Saccharomyces cerevisiae S288C: one gene and its partner. The main gene of each other region encodes a partner of the protein of the gene in region 2 in a complex. Each region holds a gene or a part of one and is shown on either strand. Other genes may lie near its edges. A codon is read from its position in the direction of its gene.

Region 1 (3,922 bases), on a different chromosome or scaffold from region 2:
CTGTATAACCGTGCTTGTCCAATAGGGGCACCCAATACTCTTCAAAAGTCTTAGACTCCACTTCTTGTAAACACAACAGATCACTGTCGTACGAGAGAATCTGCTCCTTTAATTTATTGCGCCTGTAATCCCAACTTAACGCCCACGACGGTGTGTAACGGTACATTTTTGGGGTGGCATAGTGTTGACATAAGGTGTTGTAGGATAAGACGGTGAACGTCCTCTTGGCTAAATCGGTGGCCAGATGCTCAGTGGATTGCTGCAAAGAATCGTACTCCCTCTGTGGTTCCCCATCGGTATTGATTTCGATGAACCTACGTTCATGCGGTAAGGGAATCTCTGGTCTGTTGTCCCTTAGGTAGAAAATCAATCCCGTGACAGATTTTTCTGTAAGGATCTTTAAAAACTGTTTTTCTAAGGGGTTTCCTTCTACACCAAGAAACTGAAGGTTACACAGGTTCCCAAACTCCCATGGTAATGTGGTGACCATGTTATCAAAAAAGTAGAAGTATTTCAATTGGAAACATGAGCCTAGTTCCGCTGGTAGAGATGTTAACCTATTATGCGACAGGTCCAAAACGCGTAGGTTGCTTAGGTTCTTGATCTCCGCTGGCAGTTCCGTGAGGCTATTGCCATTCAAATATAGTCTCGTTAGAAAATCGTACTTGAAGATGTTGGCGCTGATATTGAAGATTTGCAAGTTGGACAAATCTAGCGCGTGCCATAATTGGTCGTCGTATTTCGAGTCCTTGGGCATGACCATTCTGTTTTCAATGTCGTCATCTTCGTCGATGCTGTACTGAGACAGTTTCTTGTGTTGTAAGAGCGCCTGGTTGGCTTCGTCCTTGCCATTAGCAAACAGCTCTATCTTGGGAGTCAATGGTGTAGAAACTGCACTGTTAGTTGCCGTGCCTGAGGGAGTGCTATCTCCCGTAGGTTGTTGTTTCTTTGCTGTCTTGCTGTCGGTGAGAGTGTCGGCCATTTCCATCAAGGCTTGCTTTGTGCAGTCTACCAGTGATTTGGAGGCTTCTGCAATGTGAGATTGCTGGAAATCGGTGGGCTGCAAAGCTGGTGGTGCAGCCTGAGGTCCGGGGCCAAATGGGCCCGGGACCTGCTGCTGTGCCTGTTGCTGCGCTTGTTGCTGAGCTTGCTGAGCCTGTTGTGTAGCCAAATACTTCTTCATAGCGTTTTGTCTAGCATAAATGTTGGGTTGCCCCAGAGATTGTGCGGACACTGCAGCCAGATGCAATTGAAGCTTCCAGATCGGATTGTTTAGTAAAGAAGGGTCATCCAAGTGCGGGTGTAATAAAGGGTTACTGGCGTTCACATTGATGTTCACAGGCGTACCAACGGTAGGAACCATCCCTATAGAATTTACTGCGGCTGTGGAGGCATTCATCATCACCCCGCTTCCACCGCCGTTGTTGTTGTTGTTGTTGTTGTTGTTATTGTTGTTATTGTTGTTATCCATGTTCATATTGAGCATGTTCGCGTTCCCATTAGCCAATTGGTCGAGCAACTGGCGCGAGTTGTTGTTGCTGGAAGTGTGTACATCGCTGTTGTTCATGAGTCCCGGTGGAGGTATCCCGGTGAGCTGGTTCATGTGTAGCTGCTGCTGTAGAGCGTTTGGTGTACCCTTTCCTAGTAGCCCGGCATGCTGCTGTTGCTGCTGTTGCTGTTGCTGCTGCGGGCCCACATTAGGGTAGCCTAGTAAAGAAGGGTCGTTCATTAGCGGTAGTTTGCAGGGATAACGTCAGTCGGAGTTCCCTTGCTGGTGTCCCTTATGCTGTGCCCTTGTGCTTGAGAACCTTCTCTAAGGTGGAAACTTTTTCAAATTTTTTCGTTGTTGGCCCGTTTTTCGCAAGTACGGGCGATAACAAAAGGCCTAAACGGCTACTTTACCTTTGAGATCTACCACGATGAGAATTAATGCTGAATGGACATCTATGTATATGATAGTGGGTATATAGTTACTTATCAGTGCTAGAGCACGATCCACGTGGTGGCACATCCGCCAAACACGCGAGGTTTTCCAGAGTATTGGCCCACGAGCTGCAGTCCAGGCTGGGAGCCCTTTTGCGGGCCGCAGTTGCCATGCTCTCCCCAGCCCCAGCAGTATACATTGTAACAGTGAGACTTGCCTTCTTGATTAGCAGTAGTTAGAATACCGTGCTCACTCCCGGTTGCAACACCGACAATAGGGAAGTCTAGGCGCTCTTGCGGGAAGAGTTGGGAATGTGTGCCCCTACCAAACGACTCTACCGTATTGAGGCGCGCATTCCACAGGTGGATCGAGGTCCACATGCACAGTACCACTAGATTGTGTCTTTTTTGCTGTTGTTTGAGCTCGAACCCAGTGGGCAGGCGACCGGATGCGTGCACTATGCGGCCGCCCTCGTCCACTATGACCATGAAGTCCTTGCCCATGGCCACGTAGTCTACGGCCACAGACCCGGTATCGTACACCAATACGGGCTCTTTCAGTGATCGGGATTTGGGCTCTTGCAATTGACACTTTGTGTTGCTGCCCCAGCCGTATACTCGGGTGCCTTGCACCACCACAAAGTTCTGGAAACATCCGTATACTGCGATGCGCTCATCGTTGGAATTCAATGGCACATGTTGCTGAGTGAACTCGTAGCAACCGCCTCCTCTCTGCCATACACGGCCATCAGCATCCACAATAACTGTCGTGTCCCAGCCGCACGCCACATCCACCACGGGTGCCGGTACTTCCACGGGCCTCCAGTCATGCACCTGCCGCAGTGCTTGCGCACTATCCAGTTCTCCCCGTCTGTTATCTCCACATCCTACCAGATTCCCGTCATTTGTCAGCATCACGCTGTGGTTCCCACCGCACGCTATCTTCCTGACTATTGCTCCATCATCTCCTGGCACAGACCTCTGTGGGGTATCCATATCCTCATCGTGCCCCAGTCCCAGTTGCCTTTGCCCATTAGACCCAAACGCATACACACAACTCATCGATACAAGCCTGTTATAGCCTTTAATGATCACATTCCATCACTTGCGCTTTGGATCTGCCTGCATTATCAAGGCTCAAACGGCTGCGTTACCCCCGTCGCCGCGAAATTTTTCATAATTTTTCACTTTGTAGGATTAAAAGAGATCATGAGCCCATCTCGCAATGCAACACGTAACTTAAATCAGTACTGGCGTGTGCTATAGTGCTCTATATTCGAGTTTGTTGCTACTGGTGGACACCCGACTATCTACAGTAAGGAACGTAAACAAGAAAAAGAGAGAAAATACGCTATAGTTGAAAACATGAGTGGTTCGCATTCAAATGATGAGGATGACGTAGTGCAAGTGCCCGAGACGTCCTCTCCCACCAAGGTAGCATCGTCGTCTCCCTTAAAGCCTACTTCGCCAACAGTTCCGGATGCAAGTGTGGCGTCTTTGAGAAGCAGGTTTACTTTCAAGCCTTCAGATCCCAGCGAAGGAGCTCATACTTCGAAGCCGCTCCCATCTGGGAGTCCTGAGGTAGCACTGGTTAACCTTGCGAGAGAGTTCCCCGATTTCTCTCAAACTCTGGTGCAGGCTGTTTTCAAATCTAACTCTTTTAACTTACAGTCTGCCAGGGAACGTCTTACAAGATTGAGGCAGCAAAGACAAAATTGGACATGGAACAAGAACGCATCTCCCAAGAAGTCAGAAACCCCGCCACCTGTCAAGAAGTCATTACCACTGGCAAACACAGGCCGTTTATCATCTATCCATGGCAATATCAACAACAAATCCTCCAAGATTACCGTGGCCAAACAGAAAACGTCCATTTTTGACCGTTACTCAAACGTCATCAACCAGAAACAATACACTTTTGAGCTGCCAACTAACTTGAATATAGACTCGGAGGCACTGAGCAAGTTGCCCGTGAACTACAACAAAAAGAGAAGGCTGG
Region 2 (3,922 bases):
ACTTCCTCTTATCCCTGGAATGGACGGTTATGCTGCTTGCAATATGTCATTCTTTCATTAATCGCCACCTGATGTTTTTCGCTGCTTTGGACGAAAAAATTTCCAAGAAAAAATAAATGGTTAAACAAACTACAGCGCACGTGACCGATAACTATACGGGAATAACGCATCAATCTCCTGTGGAAGAGTGCTTATTGCATCGAAGAACCAATCTGTATTACTACATGTCCAATCATAAGCTGATGTTGCTTTTAAACTTTTTTTTTTAAAATTGTGTATACATATAGTACATAAATGATCATTGGTCCCCATCAATACCGTATATGACACCTTGGTACTTGGCGAAATCCGTACCGTTTGGGAACTTATGCATAGACAGCTTGCTCAATTGGCAGAAGGATAGAAGCATCAATAGACTCTGGCCGCCTGTAGTAGTAAATATAGAGAATCTTGGTAGCCCTAACTCATCGGCAAGTGTGGTTAGTGAATATTGCTGCTGCTGTTGCTGTTGTGAAGATTGTTGCAATTGAGGGTTCTTGAACTCCTGGATTATTTTATACACCAGGTTTAAGTCGTAGAAATTGGGCATGTATTGATGGACCCACCACTCGAAATCCTCCTTGTTGTTGGGCATGGAGTCATTCATTAGAATGTTGATCAGGAAACCTAGATCATATGCCGCATGGTATGTGATCCAAGTAACAGAATCATCCATCATTAAACCAGAGTCCATTAGAAGCTGCGAAAATTCAAATACATCGATGCCTAAATTTTCGTGTTTTTCGAAGTTGATACCTGATTTTCTGAGTAATTCTAACGATTCTGTGGACATGATTTCCTTCTTTGGGTCAAATTCAAAATTGAACTGCCACGTTGAGGGACCGTTGTCAGGCTTATTGCCGTTGGCGTCACTCAAGGAAAGACCAAGTTGTATTGGGTTTAAGAAGTCTACGTTGGCCCTCATTGTCTGATAGTGGTAATCGACCTTCGACCTGAAAGTGCCGATCGGCCTAGCCAAAGTCCCCACAAACTCAGTACTGATTGACACATGATTATACTGCGAGACCAGTTGTCTTATAACGGCGAATTCACTGTAAAGGTTGGACTTCCAGACATCGCGAACGAAAAGATAATTTGGGGGTGGTAAAAAGATCGGTGGCATACTTTGGTTGGTTAAATGCTTGGGTAGCTGGGAAGCCAAGGGACGATTGAGTCCCACTCCCTGCTGCTGTTGCTGCTGTTGTTGTTGCTGCTGTTGTTGTTGCTGCAGAACGTTCAGTCCGGGCGGCAAACTAGCCACCGAAACAGGCGTTCCTATATTAAATGGCTGCTGTTGTTGTTGCTGTTGCTGTTGTTGCTGAGTTAACAGTGGCTCGTTCTTCTGCTTCAAAAGATAGGCATTGTTCATCTCCTGATTAACAGAGCCATTAATTGTATTTACAGGCATCCCTTGAGGAAACATTCTTGCTCTATTAACCTTTGGCGAATACACCTGAGGTCCCATGTTTTGCTGCTGGTGTTGTTCAGAAGCCTGCCTCTGAGAGAAAAACTGCTCACCTCCTACAGCTAATACCCTCGGTTGTACATTCATAGATTGCATAATCCTTTTTGACCCTTTATAAATGTATAAAATTGAGTTGCCTGTTTCTAATCGTTCGAAGTATTTCCAGTATGAAAAACAAGGAAGCCCTGATAACGAGACACGCTAATAAACTTCAAACTGATCTTTCTTGTCAGTTATCATTCTACTACTATAATTGAAAAGACTCAATAAAGAAAATATCATAATGATGAAAAAAGAGCGAGCAGCGGGTAAGGACCGAATTCCGTTTGGAATGACTGGTATAATGAGATTTACCTTATACTATAGAGAGGGCTATATCATTACCGAACTTAAGTTTTCTATTGGAATATTATACTTTATAAACTAAATAATTACCCATCTATGTTGTTTCCCCAAGAATGTTTGCTGCCATATAATAAGAACAAAAAAAAAAATAACAAAAAAAAAGAAAAAAAAAATCACTTGTAATCTTAAATTAATATTATACACCGGTTGTCCGTTTTTACCTCTATGCCGTCTTCTCAACTTCTTTCTTCTTTGGTTTTTCTTCCCCTTCCTTTTCAGGTGGAAGGACGAACCAAGGGATTTTACCTCTATTAAAATCATTCAATATTTGCTTAGAAACACCAGACTCATCAGGCTCACCACCCTTCAGTAATCTACCTTGTTTCCTTGCCAGAATTTCAATAAACTCCGTGGCATCCTTCCATCCTGAGATCTCGTAAGTTCTTTCCAAGTGCTTTACCTGACAACGTTTTAAAACACCTGGAATATATTGTTCTGGGTGTGTGACGTGTTCGACTCTGACAACACCTCTGAATAAAATGTCTTCTTCGGAGTCTTTACTAGAAGGCGGCACAATACCTGGACAATCAATCAAAAAAATTCTTTTCATAAGAGTAATATATTGCCAGACCTTAGTTTCACCAGGGATTGGTGCAACTTGACACACCTTTTTCTTTCTCAATGTGTTAATGATGGACGATTTACCAGTGTTTGGATAGCCGATAAACCCTACAGATATTTGCTTTCTATCAGTATGCAACTGTGAGAACTGACGTAGCAACTGAATTAACGAACCTTTACCGAAAGAGTTGGTAATAGATGCGTGAAACGCCAAAGTTGGACGTTCCTTTGACAAATGTTTGACCCAAGCTGCCTACTTGTAAAGTTAGAATTGAAAAAAAAAAACCTTCTGTTAGTAAAAAATACATTTTGTTTCATAATAGGTAATCTTTTGCCCCAAGAGAATGTAATAATCATTGTTATAGCCGAGATTGATTGTTTCGAAGAGTGGATTAAACTAAAAAAAAAAAAAAAGTAGAAAATTGTGAGGATCTTTACTACGAACATATTGTATGGAGCCCGAGATAAAGTCTCAAATAACAAAAGCTCAACTCATAAGATCCTCGCTGTTCTAAAAAGCGAAGGTATACCTTTAAAACAAAGGTTGTCCTTCTAATTTACCCATGAGGCTTCCCCAGAACGGGGAAATATGGATAAGCGAACAGTATTACTCTTCCAAAACAGTAACAGACACTTCTGTAGATAAGTTTATCCTAAAACGGATAGAGAAGCACCCTGACAAAAAGGTTTGGTAATAAAAATCATACTCTATCGAAAAAAAAAATCTCTCGTGCTATCCTCTTGGTTGGAAAGAATCAAAAAAAAAAAAAAAAAAGTTAACATACTGCAACCCAGGTAGGTACCAAATCACACTTATTAAGAACATAAATTAAATGCTTGTGTGGTGTTTCCTTCTTCATATACTCTTCCACGGACTTACAACGGGTACCCAATGGATCCCTTGCATCTAGAACATGTATTACCACGTCAGACGAATCGATGACTTTATATAATTCGTTCCAAATACGTTTGGATTGACCCTTACTGAAAATAGCTTCTTTTGCTGCGGAGGTCCACCCATTTTCTTTGTCTTCCTGGTTCCCCATTAGTCCTAATGTGGCATCTAAGACTTGCTTTTCCTCATACTTGGTAATGTCTTCATTTGTAGCCTTGACCAAGTCCTCTAGATTGGATGCAGCAAGACGTGGTCTCTTTCTTTGGGCTTTGGGCCCAAACGCATCAGCATAACTTTCGGTATCCAAAATTCTGGCTTTTGGGGATTCATCTGCGTCCTTTTCTTCCAACAATGACATGGGAAGCTTATTTCTTCTCAGAAGAACTTGATATGTATCTTTTTGGGTTTCACCCAATGCACTTCTGAAATGCTGCAGTGCGTCCTGAGATATCACTCTTGTGTTACCGAACCAACGACGATCTGGTTGGACCCTCGCATCCGGTATTGTGGAGTCCTGGAAAGAAGCGGCCCTAATTAAATTACCTTTCTTATTCCTG

The links.
Region 1: the proteins of POP2 (region 2) and CCR4 are in contact, whole or in part, in a crystal structure (PDB 4B8C), measured with the Saccharomyces cerevisiae proteins. Residues at the interface, in NP_014450.3 of Saccharomyces cerevisiae: Thr194 (codon at 1,021), Leu195 (codon at 1,018), Ala196 (codon at 1,015), Arg197 (codon at 1,012), Pro198 (codon at 1,009), Ile199 (codon at 1,006), Gly200 (codon at 1,003), Thr201 (codon at 1,000), Phe202 (codon at 997), Arg203 (codon at 994), Gln211 (codon at 970), Arg214 (codon at 961), Ala215 (codon at 958), Asp218 (codon at 949), Phe219 (codon at 946), Asn221 (codon at 940), Lys253 (codon at 844), Lys254 (codon at 841), Glu255 (codon at 838), Ile256 (codon at 835), Met257 (codon at 832), Ser258 (codon at 829), Thr259 (codon at 826), Leu262 (codon at 817), Asn325 (codon at 628), Asn326 (codon at 625); in NP_009381.1 of Saccharomyces cerevisiae: Asn175 (codon at 1,207), Tyr177 (codon at 1,201), Ala178 (codon at 1,198), Asn181 (codon at 1,189), Asp332 (codon at 736), Asp333 (codon at 733), Leu335 (codon at 727), Trp336 (codon at 724), His337 (codon at 721), Ala338 (codon at 718), Leu339 (codon at 715), Asp340 (codon at 712), Leu341 (codon at 709), Leu344 (codon at 700), Gln345 (codon at 697), Ile346 (codon at 694), Phe347 (codon at 691), Asn348 (codon at 688), Ile349 (codon at 685), Ser350 (codon at 682), Asn352 (codon at 676), Ile353 (codon at 673), Tyr356 (codon at 664), Phe358 (codon at 658), Tyr363 (codon at 643).

Annotation. Positions count from the first base shown.
Region 1 is NC_001133.9:111,631-115,552, forward strand, and holds the start of CCR4 (CCR4-NOT core exoribonuclease subunit CCR4), read right to left. Parts: upstream 1,730-3,922; coding exon 1-1,729. Other genes in the region: ATS1 (Ats1p), read right to left, coding at 1,984-2,985; DNA-dependent ATPase FUN30, read left to right, coding at 3,289-3,922. UniProt on the Saccharomyces cerevisiae protein: Acts as a catalytic component of the CCR4-NOT core complex, which in the nucleus seems to be a general transcription factor, and in the cytoplasm the major mRNA deadenylase involved in mRNA turnover.
Region 2 is NC_001146.8:719,048-722,969, forward strand, and holds POP2 (CCR4-NOT core DEDD family RNase subunit POP2), read right to left. Parts: upstream 1,601-3,922; coding exon 299-1,600; downstream 1-298. Other genes in the region: putative GTPase NOG2, read right to left, coding at 2,073-2,723, 3,256-3,922. UniProt on the Saccharomyces cerevisiae protein: Acts as a probably catalytic component of the CCR4-NOT core complex, which in the nucleus seems to be a general transcription factor, and in the cytoplasm the major mRNA deadenylase involved in mRNA turnover.